Linked DNA regions of Elephas maximus indicus. The protein of the gene in region 1 interacts with the protein of each later gene in a biochemical or structural test. Links are inferred from orthologs where the notes say so. Each region holds a gene or a part of one and is shown in the gene's direction. Other genes may lie near its edges. The genes, in order: MAP3K1 and MAP2K4.

Evidence for each region.
Region 2: of the proteins of MAP3K1 (region 1) and MAP2K4, one has a biochemical effect on the other in vitro, tested with the Homo sapiens proteins (7 studies listed by BioGRID and IntAct, with this or other methods). The link is inferred for Elephas maximus indicus from reciprocal best matches to the Homo sapiens genes MAP3K1 and MAP2K4.

What each region holds. Positions count from the first base shown.
Region 1 is NC_064820.1:60,718,401-60,726,074, forward strand, and holds the start of MAP3K1 (mitogen-activated protein kinase kinase kinase 1), read left to right. Parts: upstream 1-4,589; 5' UTR 4,590-4,625; coding exon 4,626-5,107; intron 5,108-5,113; exon of another isoform or gene 5,114-5,411; intron 5,412-5,634; exon of another isoform or gene 5,635-5,741; intron 5,742-7,674. UniProt on the Homo sapiens protein: Component of a protein kinase signal transduction cascade. Activates the ERK and JNK kinase pathways by phosphorylation of MAP2K1 and MAP2K4. May phosphorylate the MAPK8/JNK1 kinase.
Region 2 is NC_064837.1:7,841,838-7,849,859, reverse strand, and holds the start of MAP2K4 (dual specificity mitogen-activated protein kinase kinase 4), read left to right. Parts: upstream 1-4,769; 5' UTR 4,770-4,815; coding exon 4,816-4,936; intron 4,937-5,246; exon of another isoform or gene 5,247-5,313; intron 5,314-8,022. UniProt on the Homo sapiens protein: Dual specificity protein kinase which acts as an essential component of the MAP kinase signal transduction pathway. Essential component of the stress-activated protein kinase/c-Jun N-terminal kinase (SAP/JNK) signaling pathway.

The sequences.
Region 1 (7,674 bases):
CCTCAGAACAACATAAATCAATTGCAAAGTGAAAATGCAAACGTTGCAGAAGGTAGCAATTTGAATATTAAGGAGATCCTTGAGAAAATGTATGCTGTCTTTGAATATTTATGCAAAAATTATAGTCATAATTAAGCCACAAAAGTTCACAAAGCCAATGGAAGTGGTACTGAACCGCTTGGTTCACAAACAAAGCCTTGTCTACATAGGATTCAGTGAATCATAAAGGAAGATAAAACTGGCAAGGACGCTAATCCAAAGAGAGTAATTCGAATATTATAGGAGGTCCTTGAGAAAATGTCTGAGGTCTTTGAATATTTTTGCACAGATTATAGTCATGATTAAGCCACAAAGGTCAAACCAACAAAGAATATCTTGTCATATATCAAAAAACAGCAATCAACGTGGCTCATTCAAAGAATTGAAAAAATTAGAGCAGAGTTGTAAAGATAAGCAGATTTTTGCTAATATTAGACAGAGCAATCTTAATAAATTGTGGTTTTATTTGTTAATATAAAATCCCAATTCAACTGTTTTACTTATTTACTACAAAATTTAGTTTCTAATTTCAAGTACATGCAAATAAATGCAAAATGTTTAGATGGTTGTTTAATAAAAGGGAATCATAAAAACATATATTTATTTAAAATACTTTACTTAAGCTTAAAACATATAAAGGCTTTCCTTTGGTTTGGTTTGGGGTTTTTGTTTTTTCCAAGTATTCGACTCTAGGGCCTTGGTCTTTTGAGTGTGGGTCCACTGTTCTATTTATCTTGCTCACATATTGCATTGCCTACAGTTTCCAGTTTCAGTTTCTTTAAAGTGAGAACTGAAAAATACCTGCAAAGTAATTTTTTTTTTTAGATTTGAATGCTTTTTTCCCACTTTTTTACAATCATCACAACTGCAACTAACTTGAAGATATTTTTTTCAATGACTGGCCTTCATTCATTCTTTCAAAATATTTAACTTAATTTTTATTGGTACAGTTTTCTTTTTGCACTTACATACTCATGTTGCATTAATTTAATAATCCGTTTAATAATATTTAATTAAATTTCCTAAGCAAAGTTATGATAGGTATAATCAGGTTCGAGAATAAACACAACAGACTCTCCCAGGGACCATAATTCACCTGCCGGGAGCAGAAGTGGGCAGGTGCACACCAGCCACTGACCATGAACATTCATTGTGCAGTGGCATTCCTCAGCATGTCATACACAGAGAACGACAAGCAACTGTTACTGATGAGTCAGGTAAGTAGAGGCTAGTTAAAAACTTTCTACAATTATGTCACCTGCAGTGCCCTTGTAGTGGAACCAGTAATCCACAGATAGCAGTTTCCTGACTAAAACATCTGGAAACACCTGGCAAATGTGGTATCTGGGAAGAACATGGCAAAACCAAGATCTAACCCCAGCTCTCCTGCTCCCTAATAAATATTTATAAAGCCTGGAGGAACACCAGCTTTTGTCCTATTCTCAAGGTTACATTCTTACTTTTTATAGCCATCTAAGATTTTTTTTTATAACTCACGCAAGTGTGAATACGTGTATACACACTGATGGATCTTAAATTCTAAATCAGAATCAGTCCAATAAATACCCACTAATAAAAACAATTATAGATGGGAATATTTAATTATTTTTTTGTAAATATGAAAAACAACAAACAATATCCTTAGAGGAGAAAACTCCTTGCATGTGAATATCAGGTGCTTAATAAATATATGATGAATGAAATACAAGCTGATATATTTCTGCCATTGCATACTAAGTCTCTTCATTCTAATGTTAGTGATATTTGTGTACAACGAGGAAATACACCAATATTAAACTGGTTTCTCCAAATGAACATGATGTAGCAACTGAAGTGTGACTTAGGTGATTCCCAGAAGCACTATGTGAAAGCAGTGATCTGTAAAGCACTCACATAAAGGCTACAGAAACTGTCGTGGCATAAATGAAATCACGGCAAGGTTTGTATCCTCCAGTGAAGATGGAAATAAGGAGCTTGAAAACAGTAACTGGAGTTTTCAGTTCCAGAAGCGACCTTTGAAGAGACCTGAGTCTCCGTTAAGTCATTAAAGAAATCAAATTAAAGCAATTCAGAGTATACATTAGCTTGATATTTGACATATGAATCTCTGCAGTAATAAAAAAAACATGACACAGCAGCACCAAAACTAGCATTTACAATCTTATCCGTGCTTAAGACTCAGAAACTACGGTAATAATTCCTTGCAGCTGGATTCTCCGCGAAGAAGATTTTATATTAACTTTCCGCCGAAGGAGAACACTCTTTTCCAATCGAGCATGTCCTTTGGTTAGTTTTCTCTCTTAAAGAAAAAAAAAAAAGAGCGAGAGCGAGAGCGAGAAATCAGCAGGCCGGTGTGTAGATGCATAATGGCAATCCGAATATTTACATAAAAGATTAAGGGGAAAATTACTCAAAATGCCAAAAACTATCCAGCTCTCAGGTTTCTAGTGGCAGTGTATGGTGGATAGAGGAGGTCAGAGAATGTAGCTGACTGATAGTGCTGTTTTTGTTCCCATCTGTCTTTGGTCCCAAGTTTGAATCCCTTTGGATGAATTAGTGGGCAAAGGCAAAGTCTGCTGGAATCCTGTTTTATTTTAGCTACTCTGATCAAGCTTCAAAATTGTTCCTATTTTGAAAGGTTCCTGGCTCCACCGAACTTTTCTCACAGGTACCTGACCGTGTGTGTGTGCGTGCGTGTGTGTGTGTGTGTGTGTGTGTAAATGTAAAGGTTTTTAGATCTAAATAGGGAAGTGGAAAGTTTATTCTTTTCAATTTAGTGGGTGTGGCAATCCGGGAAGATCAGGGAAGTAACTACTGTTTGGTTTGGATGATACACTTGGCTATCGTTAAAAGAGCATATAATTATAGGCTAAACGTAGACTTAAAATTTTAACAGATTTATCTAAACTTTCAAAATTTGTACCGTTGGATGTAATTATCTAAAACTGTCTGATGGCAGGTGTTGTACCAGTATTAAAAACAGTGAACTAATATGAAATCAAGACCCTTAAAAACTCCCTCCACTATCACCTTGCTCCTCAGGTAACATACCTAGAAAGGGGGTTTTAATTGTATCAAGAAATGAAAGGAATTATTACATGGATAGTTCAGTCCAGGCCATGCATAGTTCAGGCTTTCGTCTAAATATTATGAAGACAGACAAGATAGCTCTCTCCTTTCTCTGCGTGGGAAGCCCCCTCCCCCCGCATTAAAATAAATTACCATTATTTAGTGTTTCTCAAAATATACCTAGAGACGCTGCTCCTGTCTTCTGGGAGATTTCCCATCACAGACAAACCAACTTAAGAGAAACGCAACACAACTCTACCCGGCTGAACAAAGGTCGAAAATCATTAACATGCAAATGAACCTTTTTCTATCCCAAAGCACCTTACGGCAGACTCTCCCCAGGGATGTTACTGTTGCTAGACCCATCCAGCAGCTCCCCAGGGATCCAGGGGTTCAAAACACCGCGTTTGGCAACCGGGTACTGCGGGGGATGGGGATGGGGGTGGGGGTGGAGGCACCTGGGACCATCGCCCGACCCCGCCAGGAAGAGGGACGTGCAGCGAGGGGCGTCGGGTTTGGGGAGGGCCAGGGCCAGGCTGAGGATGACATTATCGAGCACTTCCTGCACAGCGTAGGTTCCTTCCCCAAAGGTGCTCTATCTGGTTCTGTGCCCTTTCCAAAGTCAGAGCCGAGGAAAAAACAAAGCTCCTCAGGACATCCATGTGTCTCCATAGCCAAGTGGTACTGGGGAGACAAGGGCTGTCTGAAACCAACGACTTCAGGATGTAAACACGGTATTCCAAGAAACTTTGAAGTTTTGATTATTTGTAGCACGAGGGGCGGGGGACAAAAGAAGAGGAAAAATTTCTTCAAAAAAAAACTTTGTTTTTGGTCCGCAGCAGCACGTCCACTGAACGTTGGGTTTCTTTCGCTTTGCAGCAGGCAACACCCCCGGCGCCACCTGCGCGTCGCGCGCGGAGCGGGCAGGATGGGGCTTGGCCCGCGCCCGGGTCTCCCGACGCCACTGCAAAGGGCAGTGTGAATGACAAGACTGCAAATCTCCTCCCCAACATCCCCTTCCACGCATCACACGCACACATTCCAACTAATTATTTATTTCGGAAGCTGCAACTTCAGTAGGGCGAGCTCCCGGTGGGCCGAGCCGAGATTGCAGCAGACACGAAGCGGCGCGATGCTGCCACTCCGGCACCTCCTGTGGCCGGTGAGGCCCGCGACTACCTGGCGGCGCGGCGGGCGCAGCACGCAGAGTCCAGGAAGTTCCACCGCCGCCACGTCCGAGTCCACGGCGCCGGCCCGCCCGCCCCGCCGAGCGCGCAGCCCACTCCCCCCAACCTGCTGCGCCGCCGCCCCCGCCGACCCGCCCTCCGCCTCCGGCCAAACCCCGCGCCCCCGCCCGCCCGTCTGTCCCGGGCAGAGCCCGGCGGGCCACGCTCACGCAGTTGGCGCAGGCAGTTCTACGCTGGCGGCGCAGCGCCCGCCGGTCCGCCCGCCCCCTGCGCTCTCCCCGCCCCCTCCCTCCCTCTCGGGGGCCGAGCGAATGTAGCCCGCGAGAGAAAATGGCGGCGGCGGCGGGGAATCGCGCCTCGTCGTCGGGATTCCCGGGCGCCGGGGCGGTGAGCCCCGAGGCGGGCGGCGGCAGAGGGCCCCTGAAGGCGAGCAGCGTGCCCGCGGCAGCCGCGGGGCTCCTGCGGGAGGCGGGCAGCGGGGGCCGCGAGCGGGCGGAGTGGCGGCGGCGGCAGCTGCGCAAAGTGCGGAGTGTGGAGCTGGACCGGCTGCCCGAGCCGCCGATCTTCCTCGCCGCTTCTCCGCCGTCCTCCTCAACTTCCCCGTCGCCGGAGCCCGCGGACTCGGCAGCGGGCGGGAGCGGTTTCCAGCCTCTGGCGGTGCCGCCGCCCCACGGAGCCGTGAGCCGCTGCGGCGCCCAGCCTGCAGAGCTAGTGGCCGCTTCGGACAGCGGCGCCCCGAACCTCGCAGGGGCCGAGCCCGGGGAGAAGCGAGCGTCCGCCGCCGAGCCGTCTCCTGCAGCGGCCCCCACCGGGTGAGTAGCACCGCCGGGGGCGCGGAGAGAACTTTGGTTGTAGGCAGAGGGCAATGAATGAACCCCGGGTACCGTGCGCAGCGTCCTGGGGCCGCGTTCTGGGATACTGCGCGCCGCTTGCCGGGGTCCGAACCCCCGCACCCCCCGGGCACCCTCTCAGACCTCCTCCCGGCGTCGGGCGGCGCCCCGGACCCGGCCTAGGGGTTGGACGGGGTCCCGGGGCGGGGAAGTGCCGGGGAGTTTGTTATTGTTTGTAGACATGTGACAGACGTGCCAACCCGTCTGCGGGACCCGTTGCGAAAAGGTGTGGAGGCCCTGGCTAGCTCTGGGGCTCTGGGAATCCGTGCTCTCCGAGGAGCCGGGGCTTGAGACCCCGGCGCTGCCCTCAGGGCAATTTGGGGCCGGACCCAGGGGGCAGGGGGCAACCAGGTGGCGGCGCGCCAGGAACGGAGTCTCGGGGACGGGGGGCGAGGCCGGAGCCGGCCGGCGGGCGGTGGTCGGCAAAGGGGCGGGGTGGGTGGGGAGCCCCAACCGGAGGCCGGGGCGAGGGCGAGAGGACAGAAGAGAAAGCGACGAGGTCTCTGCGGCCGTGACAGGCCGAGCCCCTCCGCCCGCCTGGAGCTCGAGTCCTGAGGCAGGTATCGGGGGCCGGGCCCGGATGCCGCGGCGCGCCCCAAGAGCCGGCAGTAGGGGATTCCCGGGGGACGGCTCGGTAACGCCTGTCAAAGCGGTGCGGACAGATAGACTGCAAACTCGTGGGACTTGCAGTCTTTTCGAAATTGGGGTTTTCTAATTGCGTCCCCCCCAAAGGGGCTCCGAGAGTACTTGGGAATGCGAACTGCACGGAGAAGACTAGAGCGACTTCGGTTTGGAGTTTGAATTTGGTCTTTGAAGTTTGCATTTGGCTGAGTGGTGTAAGAGACCCGACCGGATGTGTCAGCCGTTCAATTTCAAAGCGGTGGTGACTGCTCCCCGCAGTTCCTCCGGCGTGGTTCGGGAGCGCGGCGCGGGTGCGGTGCTTCCTGCTCTGTGCAGCTGCGTCGGCCGACTGCCGAATTCCAGGGTTTTTTTGGGGGTTTTGTACAGAGCTGTCGGCTCAGCTAAGACAGACCTGTGGGGCTTATGCAGTACGATACATACGTGCAGTGTAACTCAGAGGAGCGATTCGTGGCCTGACCCTTTTTTCGCAGCTGGGGTTTTTTATGTTAAAGGAAATTCAAATAAATATGACAGCTATAATCTTTTTTTTTTTTTTTAATCTGGCTAACGTATACAAAGCACAAAGTCTTGATGGTGTATTTTGAGTTGCTGGAAATGGTTTTGTGATGGTCACCCTTTGCCCTGTAGAATTCCCTGACCCTTGTTGTGAGTATTTTAAAGAGTGTGTAACTTAGGTTTGTGTTTCTTGTGAGACTAATTTGACAGTGGAAATCTTAGTTTTGGTTCATTATCTGAAGTGATTTGGTACTTTTTTGTGAGATTATTTGTTTAAAACTACAGTTCATTTATTACTTGGATGTCGCTCCCTCCCCTGAAAATAAATAAAAACTAAGAAAAAAAAATAGACTTTACCATGGCAGTATTGAAACAAAAGGAGATTGTGACTGTGATAGTTTTTTGTGTGCACTTGTACATGTAACTTAGTTTTACAAGAGTTATATTCCTTTACAGTTTTCTATTTCTATGCACATTGGACAAAAACTTAACTGGAAAAATTCTTTGAAGGCAAATGTGAGAAATTAGTTTTACCTATACTCATGATACATAACTCTTTGGATGCAATAAATGATTTAGTAAATATCAGCATTCTGGTCTTCTCATTGAGCTATGAATATAGTATAAGGGCAGCCACTGTTAAGATAACACATAGAAGTTGTTTGGTATGGTCTTCTGACACAAAATAAGAGAACTAAGGTGGAAAAAAAAAAGCTATGAATATAGTATAAGGGCAGCCACTGTTAAGATAACACATAGAAGTTGTTTGGTATGGTCTTTTGACACAAAATAAGAGAACTAAAGTGGAGGCAGATAGAATTCAGGGACTGAATAAATCCATGCTTAGTTTTTGTGTTTTATAACCTAGGTTTTTTTCTCCTCTTTGTTTAAGGGGCGGATTATAAATTGCACAGTATATGATATAATAGACTAGTTTGCATAACCTTTTTTTTTTTTTTAATGACTTTCATTAGCCAGAAAGCTTTTGGCTCATCCCACATATAAAAGTAATTATTTCCTTTATAATTAAGTGTTGATTCCCTGTCTTTTTAAAATACGATGATTTTTCTAACTTCTTTGGCAATTGGGGTTGAAATTCATTTCAGTCTCTTGGTATAAACACTGAGTATAAGTAGTTCAATAAAACTTGAATTGAGCTTTGCATTATACTTGTTGACAATAGTTTCATATGTTCAGGAGGAAAATCAGACAGTGAGATTTTGAAATATTTTTATGTTCGAGTAGGAGTAGGGGTCTAAAGACCTCTTCTGTCTAAAGACCTATTTTTTTTTTTATTAATTCTATGATTTCAATTTGAGAATTCCCCTTAGTTTTTTTTTTAACTTTTTTAT
Region 2 (8,022 bases), on another chromosome or scaffold:
CATGGTCCCAAACCTTCTGGTAGCGCAAGACAGGAACCATTCCCAAAGCCAACTCTTCAGACAGGGATTGGACTGGACTGTGGGATAGAAAATGATACTGGTGAAGAGTGAGCTTCTTGGCTCAAGTAGGCACATGAGACTATGTTGGCATTTCCTGTCTGGAGGGAAGATGAGAGGGCAGAGGGGGACGGAAGCTGGCTGAATGGACGCAGGGAATACAGGGTAGAGAGGAGGAGTGTGCCATCTCATTAGGGGGAGAGCAACTAGGAGTATATAACAATGTGTATATAAATTTTTATATGAGAGACTGACTTGATTTCCAAACTTCCACTTAGAGCACAATTAAAAAAGAAAAGTAGGAAGTGCACAGCTTCATTAGTGTGAACAGCTCATAGTCCTTTCTCTCTCTCGGTCTTTGTTTTGGCCCATATTCAGTCATAATTAGTGGTTGTTATCCTGGTTCCTATCCACCAGTTTTCAATGCCAACAGCAATGCAAGTGTTATCTCGGTTTTATCACAAACGTGCCAGCATCAGGTATTATTAAACAAAAACCCTAACTGGTTGTATATTGCCATTTTCATTCAACTTTCCTCAATGAATTTGCTAGCTGGAATGTTTTCCCTTAGGTTTATTTGTTGCTTACATGGTTTTCTTATTTGTGTCCATCCAACCATATCATCAGGTCAGTGTTTTCTGACTTGATTAAACCTCTTTAGGAAAATCTTAAATGTAACCTTTACATAATCTAAAACAATACAGGAAAATAATATGTTCTTTATTTTTTAGTAATGGCCTAATCTCTAGTATTGCCTCTAGAGTTTCTAATAAAGAAATACACATAATTGGAAAAGGGAGCGTGTAGCACTTTCCATAAGACTGTGGCTATATTAGTTTTTCACATAAAAAAATGGGTGTGGGATGTTAGTGGTTCTTATGGGGGTGTGGAGAATAAAACTTCTCCAAGCCTTTTCTTGGCATTCCTCTAATCCCAAAGGAACTGGAAAGGAGAAGTGAGATGACACAGTCATACTCAACAGTGACATTTAGATAACAGGAACTGGCTGGGAGTCCTACTGGCAGGTACTGAAATAAAGTGTAGGAAAATCGCTCCAATAGAACTGTGTGAAGTCGAGTCATCCTGCATCTGGAGCCTGGTGATGACAGGATACTACATTTGGGACATTTGCCAGCAAAGTATGGTGCTCTTGATGCCTTTTCCCTTCATGCCAAAATGGCTAAGCCAAGGGAAATACACACGTATTGTATTGGGGGAGGGGAGGGATTCCCCTATTTTCCTGCATCCGTATTTTCTAATCACTGCCATGTTGTGTGGATTTCTTTCGGTTTAGTTTTTTATTGAGGTGAAATTCACACAACATACAGTTAATCATTGTAAAGTGTACAATCCAGCAGTATTTAGTGCATTCGCAGTGCTGTGCAACCACCAACTCTTTCTAGTTTCTAAACTTTTTCATCACCCCATAAAAAACCCCTCTGTGCCCATTCAGTAGCCACTCCTCATTTCCCCTTTGCCCACCCCCAGTAACTAATTGGCTCTCTGTCTCTATGGATTTGCCTATTCTGGATGTATCATAAAAAGGAATCATACACCATGTGATCTTTTTTGTCTGGCTTCTTTCATTCAGCATAAAGCTCTCAAGGTTCATCTAAGTTGTAGCATGTATCAGCACTCTGTTCCCTGTTACGACTGAATATTTCATTGTATGCATATGTCACAATTTGTTTATCTACTCATCCGCTGATGCACATTTTGGCTGTTATGAATAATCCTGCTACAAATATTTGTGCACAGGTTTCCCTGTGTACATGTGTTTTCATTTCTTTTGGGCATATATTTAAGAGTGGAATTTCTGGGTCATATGGTAAGTCTATGTTTAACTTTTTGAGGAACCGCCAAACAGTTTTCCAAAGTGGCTACACCATTTTACATTCCCACCAGCAATGGACTAGGTTTCTATTTCTGCACATCCTTGCCAATGCTTGTTGTTTTTTGTTTTCTTGATTAAAGCCAACATACTTGGTGTGAAATGTTATCTAACTGTGGTTTTGACTTGCATTTCCTTATTTCCTTAGTGACCAATGATCTTCAATATCTTTCCATGTGCTTATTAACCATTTGTGTATCTTCTTTGTAGAAACGTCTACTCAAGTCCTTTGCTCCGTTTTTGAGTTGTGTTTTTGTTGTTGAATGTAAGAGTTCTTTATATATTACTGATACTAAACCCTTATCGGATAGATGATTTCCGAATATTTTCTTCCATTCTGTAGGTTATTTCCCTTTCTTGAGAATGCCATTAGAAAAACAAAAGTTTTTGATTATTATGAAGTCTAATTTATTTATTTTTTCTTGTTCATGCTTTATATCTAAGAATCCATTGCCCAATCAGAGGTCATGAAGAGTTTACTCCTATGTTTCCTTCTAAGAGTGTTACAGTTTTACCTCCTATATTAAGGTCGTTGATTCATTTTGAGTTAATTTTTTAGTATGGGGTGATGTAGAGGTCAAGCTTCATTCTTTTGCATGTGGAAATCCAGTAATCCCAGCACCATTTATCGAACAGACCATTCTTTCACCATTGAATGTTCTTGGCAACGTGTTGAAAATCAATTGACCACATGTGTTTGATGTGTTAATGTTTTGAAAGAAATATCCCATTTGTTTTTTCATACCAACTCCGCCAGGTATTTGAACATAAGCTCAAAAAAACAAAAAAAACAAGGTTTATGCCTTAAAAGGACAGAATGTTAGAGAGCCACGGCTTCTTCTTTCCTTTGTTGTTTGTTGTTTCTCTTCCCATCAGCAGTATCCAGAGGATACAGACAGAATATTTAACCTGTATTCTTAGCTGGACAGCCTGTATGCAAACATTTCTTTTTGGACTTTGGTAAGATTTCCCCTTCAAGAAACTGACATTTATTTAGGACACTCCGGGACCAACAGGAGCAAGGTGGGATACTGATTCTCAGATGGTGATTTGGCAAGTGTTCATGGTGACCCTGTCCTGGAGATATTGCTCCATCAGCCTGGCCTCTGGAGGAGAATTCTGGCAGACTGGAATGCGGCCGGCTCTCTAAGCACACCAATGTGCTCTCACCTTCTATTTGGCTTTATTGCCTCTCTAGTTTACTTCCTCTATCTCCTGTCTCTAAGGAGCCCTGGTGGAACAGTGGTTAGAGCACTCAGCTGCTAACTAAAAGGTTGGTGGTTCAAACCCACCATTCATTCCATGGGAAAAGATGTAGCAGTCTGCTTCTGTAAAGATTCGCTGCCTTGGAAATCCTACGGGGCAGTTCTACTTTGTCCTGTAGGGTCACTATGAGTCAGAATGGACTCCCCAGGAGTGGGTTTGGATTTTTTTGTATCTCCTATCTCTAGCCAGTGTTAAGATTTGGGCAGTCAAGGTGATGGCTGAGGTTGGGGCTGGAGCGACCTAGGATACATTTCCAACATGCTACAGGAAACTCCAGCATCAGATAAGATCTGGGTGGAAGGAGTTCAAGAAGGAGGTTCTGGAATAGATTGTGCAATGCTTCCAAAGGGCAGGGAACATCCGGCTACGTGGTATAGATCCCTTGGTGTGCAGTAAAGTTGGTCATTCTGTTACAGGCAAGACATATTTCTGCCCTTAAACCTGTCTCACCACCCCAATTACATTTCCATTGGCTGACAACACTCCAGCCTCAGAGAGGACTCTTTCTCTGCTTTAAGCTGCTGCCTTACTAAAATCAAAATGCTCTGTGCAAAGCACTGGCAGAAATCTGTTTTTTTTTTTTTTGTTTGGGTGTCATTTTATGTAATTTATAATATTGACTATGGCTGGCCTTGTAAGATGTAGAGGGGTTGGGGGAAGGGAGTCTGGCACTTGTTGAGGGGGGGATGATGACATAGGTAGTATATTTTGGAGGGCCAGGGAGCTGTATAGCCAAAAAGTTGTTGGTTCGAACCCATCCAGATGTATCTTGGAAGACAAGCCTGGCAATCTGCTTCCGAAAGGTCACAGCCTTGAAAACCCTACAAAGCAGTTCTGCTCTGCACCCATGGGGTCACCTTGAGCCGGAACTGACTCTACAACAACTAACAGCAAGGGAGTGTTGAGTGCTTGAGATACTGCTTCCCAAATTTAATGTGCATACAGGTTACCTGGGGATAGCACTAAAATGTAGATTCTGATTCAGTAGATTTGGGATGGACAGCACTTTGAGTAGCAGCCCCTCTCACGCCCCAGGGCAGTGTAGAAAGTTGGGGTGTTAGGTATGGCCTAACAGGAATTCCAGACTGGAACCATACCCATAGCCGATCCTCTCTGGATGTGCCGTGTCAGAGACTGGACAAGAAGCACGACTCTTGGGATCCTTTGCATCTTTACTATTTTGAGTTCTGAGATTCCAGGAAGGGGGTTCTTAAACTTTTGGGGTCACAGACCTCTGCGGGAATGATGAAAGCGATGTATCCTCTTACCCCGCCCGCCCGCCCAACGCACACACACTCATAATTCTGCAGACTACTTTTAGACCCTGCGGGCCCGCGCGCGGCCCAGGGCCGGGATCCCTGCCTGCCTGTCGGGTCCAGTCCTCCAGACCTGGGCGGCTCTGCAGTTTCCCAGCGGCGCGGGCTCCGCGTCAGGCCGGGGGCGGGGGCGTGCCGGGGGCGGGGCCGAGGCGTGTCCGGGGCGGGGCCGAGCCGCGCCGGGGGCGGGGCCGAGGAGGCGCTGGCCCCGCCCCTCGGCCGTGCGAGAGGCCGACTTGCTGCATTGCAGCCGCCGCGGCGCCGCTGGGCTCCTCACTCCCAACAATGGCGGCTCCGAGCCCGAGCGGCGGCGGCGGCTCCGGGGGCGGCAGCGGCAGCGGCAGCGGCGCCCCGGGCTCCATAGGGCCCCCGGCGCCGGGGCAGCCGGCCGTCAGCAGCATGCAGGGTAAGGAGCGCGGCCCGCCGAGACCCCTGCCCCCTGGCGCGGCCGTCGGCGCCGTCGCGGCCTGTCCCGGCGGCCGCGCACACCCCCGGCCCGGGCTGAGGAAGCCGCCGAGGTCCCGCGCCGCGCGCCCTCCCTCCCCGGCTTCCCGCCGCTCCCGGCCGCCTCCGGGCCGCCCAGCATCCGGGCCCCGGCCGCGCAGGCCCCGGCCGCGGCCTCCCGCGGCGCCCGGCCGCCCGGCCCTGCCGGCCCTTCCGCCGGCCCGCGGGGCCCACCTGGCCCGGGAGCCGCCCCGCTCGCGGCCGCCGCTTACCTGGCCGCCGGCCGGCCGGCTTCCGGGACCTGCGGGCCGGGGCGCGGGCGGCGGGCGGGCGGCGGCGGGCGGGCCTCGCTGCTCGCCTCGCTCCTCGCTCCTCGCTCCTCGCTCCGGTCCCCGCCGCGCGCGGGCAGGTAGGCAGTGGGGCCCCGGCCGGGCCGCCCTGGTTCTCCGCGGGGCACGGCTGCCGCCGGCCCGCCGACCTGACCCCTGGGCCGCGCGGGCCTGTCGGAACCGGCGTTGGCCAACTTCTGCAGGTTTCTGGGCGCTGGGAGGGGCTGAGGATTGCTCAGGCCTGGGCCACCTGTAAGGTGCTGGGACAGCCCTGGCCTGGGGGAGCCCGTGTGTACCAGGCTGTGGAGGGATTTCTGTGTTCGCCCTGCATGCAGGAAAAAAAAAAAAAGGTGAATTCGGTGTCAATGGAGAGATACCGGAAACAAGCAGGGGTCAAGCTGGTACTGTGTAGTGTCTGGACAGCCGAGGCAGCCTTCCTACTTAATGGCTTTCCCACCGGGAATGCTTATTAGCTCGGTGTGGCCCTTGACAGGGGGTGCTGTGAAAATACACTTACCAGGCCCCAGCCCACTAGGGACCATTTCCTTAAGCTTACTGGGGAATTTGGAGTAGGAATGCTATTTTTAAAATAGCGAGTGTCGGAAATCTCTTGACAACTTTAGCAAACTGCTTGTATTGAATTATGAGTAGAGTCATTAGGGGGTACCCTTGGTAGTCAGTGTGACCCTGGCTGCTCTTTGGTTGAACTTCTTAAAGGGCTCCAGGGGCTGTCCCTTGAATTGAATATTTCGTGTTTATGAGTGTGTGTGTGTGAGATTCAGGAAGGAGAGACAGGATTTTATTCATCTTTCTATCCGCACCACCTTGCCCATGAGGTAATTTTAATATACATAAGGAACAATGATAGATATATAGACAGGATGACGTCAGCGCTCAGAGGACACTTTGTGCAGGCCATAAGTTAATTCAGATTGAATTGGTTATTGAATGGCCACGGTTTTGCACAGCACAGTATACAGATGAAGTCCAGGGTGGGTTCCGGATCTCACAGCTTCACAGTCCAGGTGGTGGGGGAAAATGAAACAGCAAAATGACAATTGAGGACTGTGTTGTTGGTCCAAAAAGGGTGACTTATAAAAATCATGCAAGCTTTTTTTTTTCCCCCGGACAGCAGGAGGTGACAGTTTGAAAAAGCTGTATACATTTGTATTTTTGTTCAAAAATTATTTATTGAACATCTGCTAGGTGCCAGGCATAGAACTGTAGTACTGGGTGTTCAGAGGAGAGTGTATTAGAGGGTCTCACCCCTGATGGGGCTTACCTTCCCATGAGAATGGGGGAGGGAAGACGATATGCAGGTAAATAAGAAGAATTACAATTTGAGAAAGTGTTATGAAGGTAGCAAACTGGGTAGAAAGTAATGGGGGTAAGGGCATTCAGCTCTGAGAAGATATTCAGGGAAGGCCTGTCTGAAAAGCCGACCCTCTTCTACCAGAAGAGCATCTCAATGGAGGGCACAGTGTACGTGATGATTCCCAAACAGGACAGAGCTTGGAGTGTGCTAGGAACTCAGAGAAAGTGGTTGCGGTTAGTTGTTCTGATGCTCCTCATTCTCCTCTCCTTCCCCTATGTCTTAATACCCAGAATCCATCTTAAAAGGGAGAGCATAGCATCCCTCTTTCATTTGTCTCTGAATTAGTTTAATTGTATCAGGACTGTGTCTAACCTTGATTGATTCAGTTTATATCTTGTTCTTGAGCCTCTTTTGGTTACTCAGAATGAAGAGAATTACTTGAAATTCTCAGGATATAAAACTCGAGCTTAAGCAGCAGTTCAGGATCTCTGTTTTCTGTTTATTTTGTTATATTATACCTAAACCTCCCATACTTCATCTTCCAAAGACCTTTCTTGGCTTTCGATTAGACTTCACAGAGAGTGGTCCTTAGAAGGTGTTGGTGTACTGCCTAACCGCCTGCTTCCGCTCCCTCCAGTTGGCTTCTACTTGCCACCTCAGGAAACCACCTTCCTGGAAGCTGTTATTGACCATGCTCTTGCAAACAGCAGGATTCAGCTGTGGGACACATGGAGTATATTTCATTTAATAGGCACCGGAGGTCCTCCTGTGGGATAAGCATTTCCTAGGCATTGGACAACCTTCCACGCTTTTTCATGGCTTGAAGTTTGTGGCAAGGGTGGTCCAAAGTGTGAAACGTTGTTTTCTTAATATCCTAAGGCTTAAGAGCCTGAGCTCTAGAGTCCTGGGTTTGAATCCCCTTACCACAATTTAAGATTTTTGTGATCTTGTGCAGGTTACTTACCTTGAAGCCACAGTTTTTCATTTGGAAAGAGGGAATAATCCTTACCTCATAGATGATATGAGGATGAATGTAGAGTATGGGGTCTTTCATGGTGAAGATGGAATAGATGTTAGCTGTCAGCAGTGCTATTAGTGGTAACGGTCTCATTGATTATTAGTAGATGAGTCACTGTCCCTCATCATCTACCACTTTATGTAGCTTCAGTATTACAGGGCCTTACACTTCACTCTACTGTGTTCCTTTCACCATATTTTCATCATTTGAGCATTTCCTTTAGCATAATACAGATGAATATTCTAATTCAAACGCCAAACCTTCTCCGTTTTCTGGATCTGAGGATTCTCTAATGAATTACGGTTTAAATGCAATGTTAAAAAGAAATGTAGCAACAGATTTGAATGCTGTGAAAGAAATCTAGCAACAGTTTACTATATTCTTTT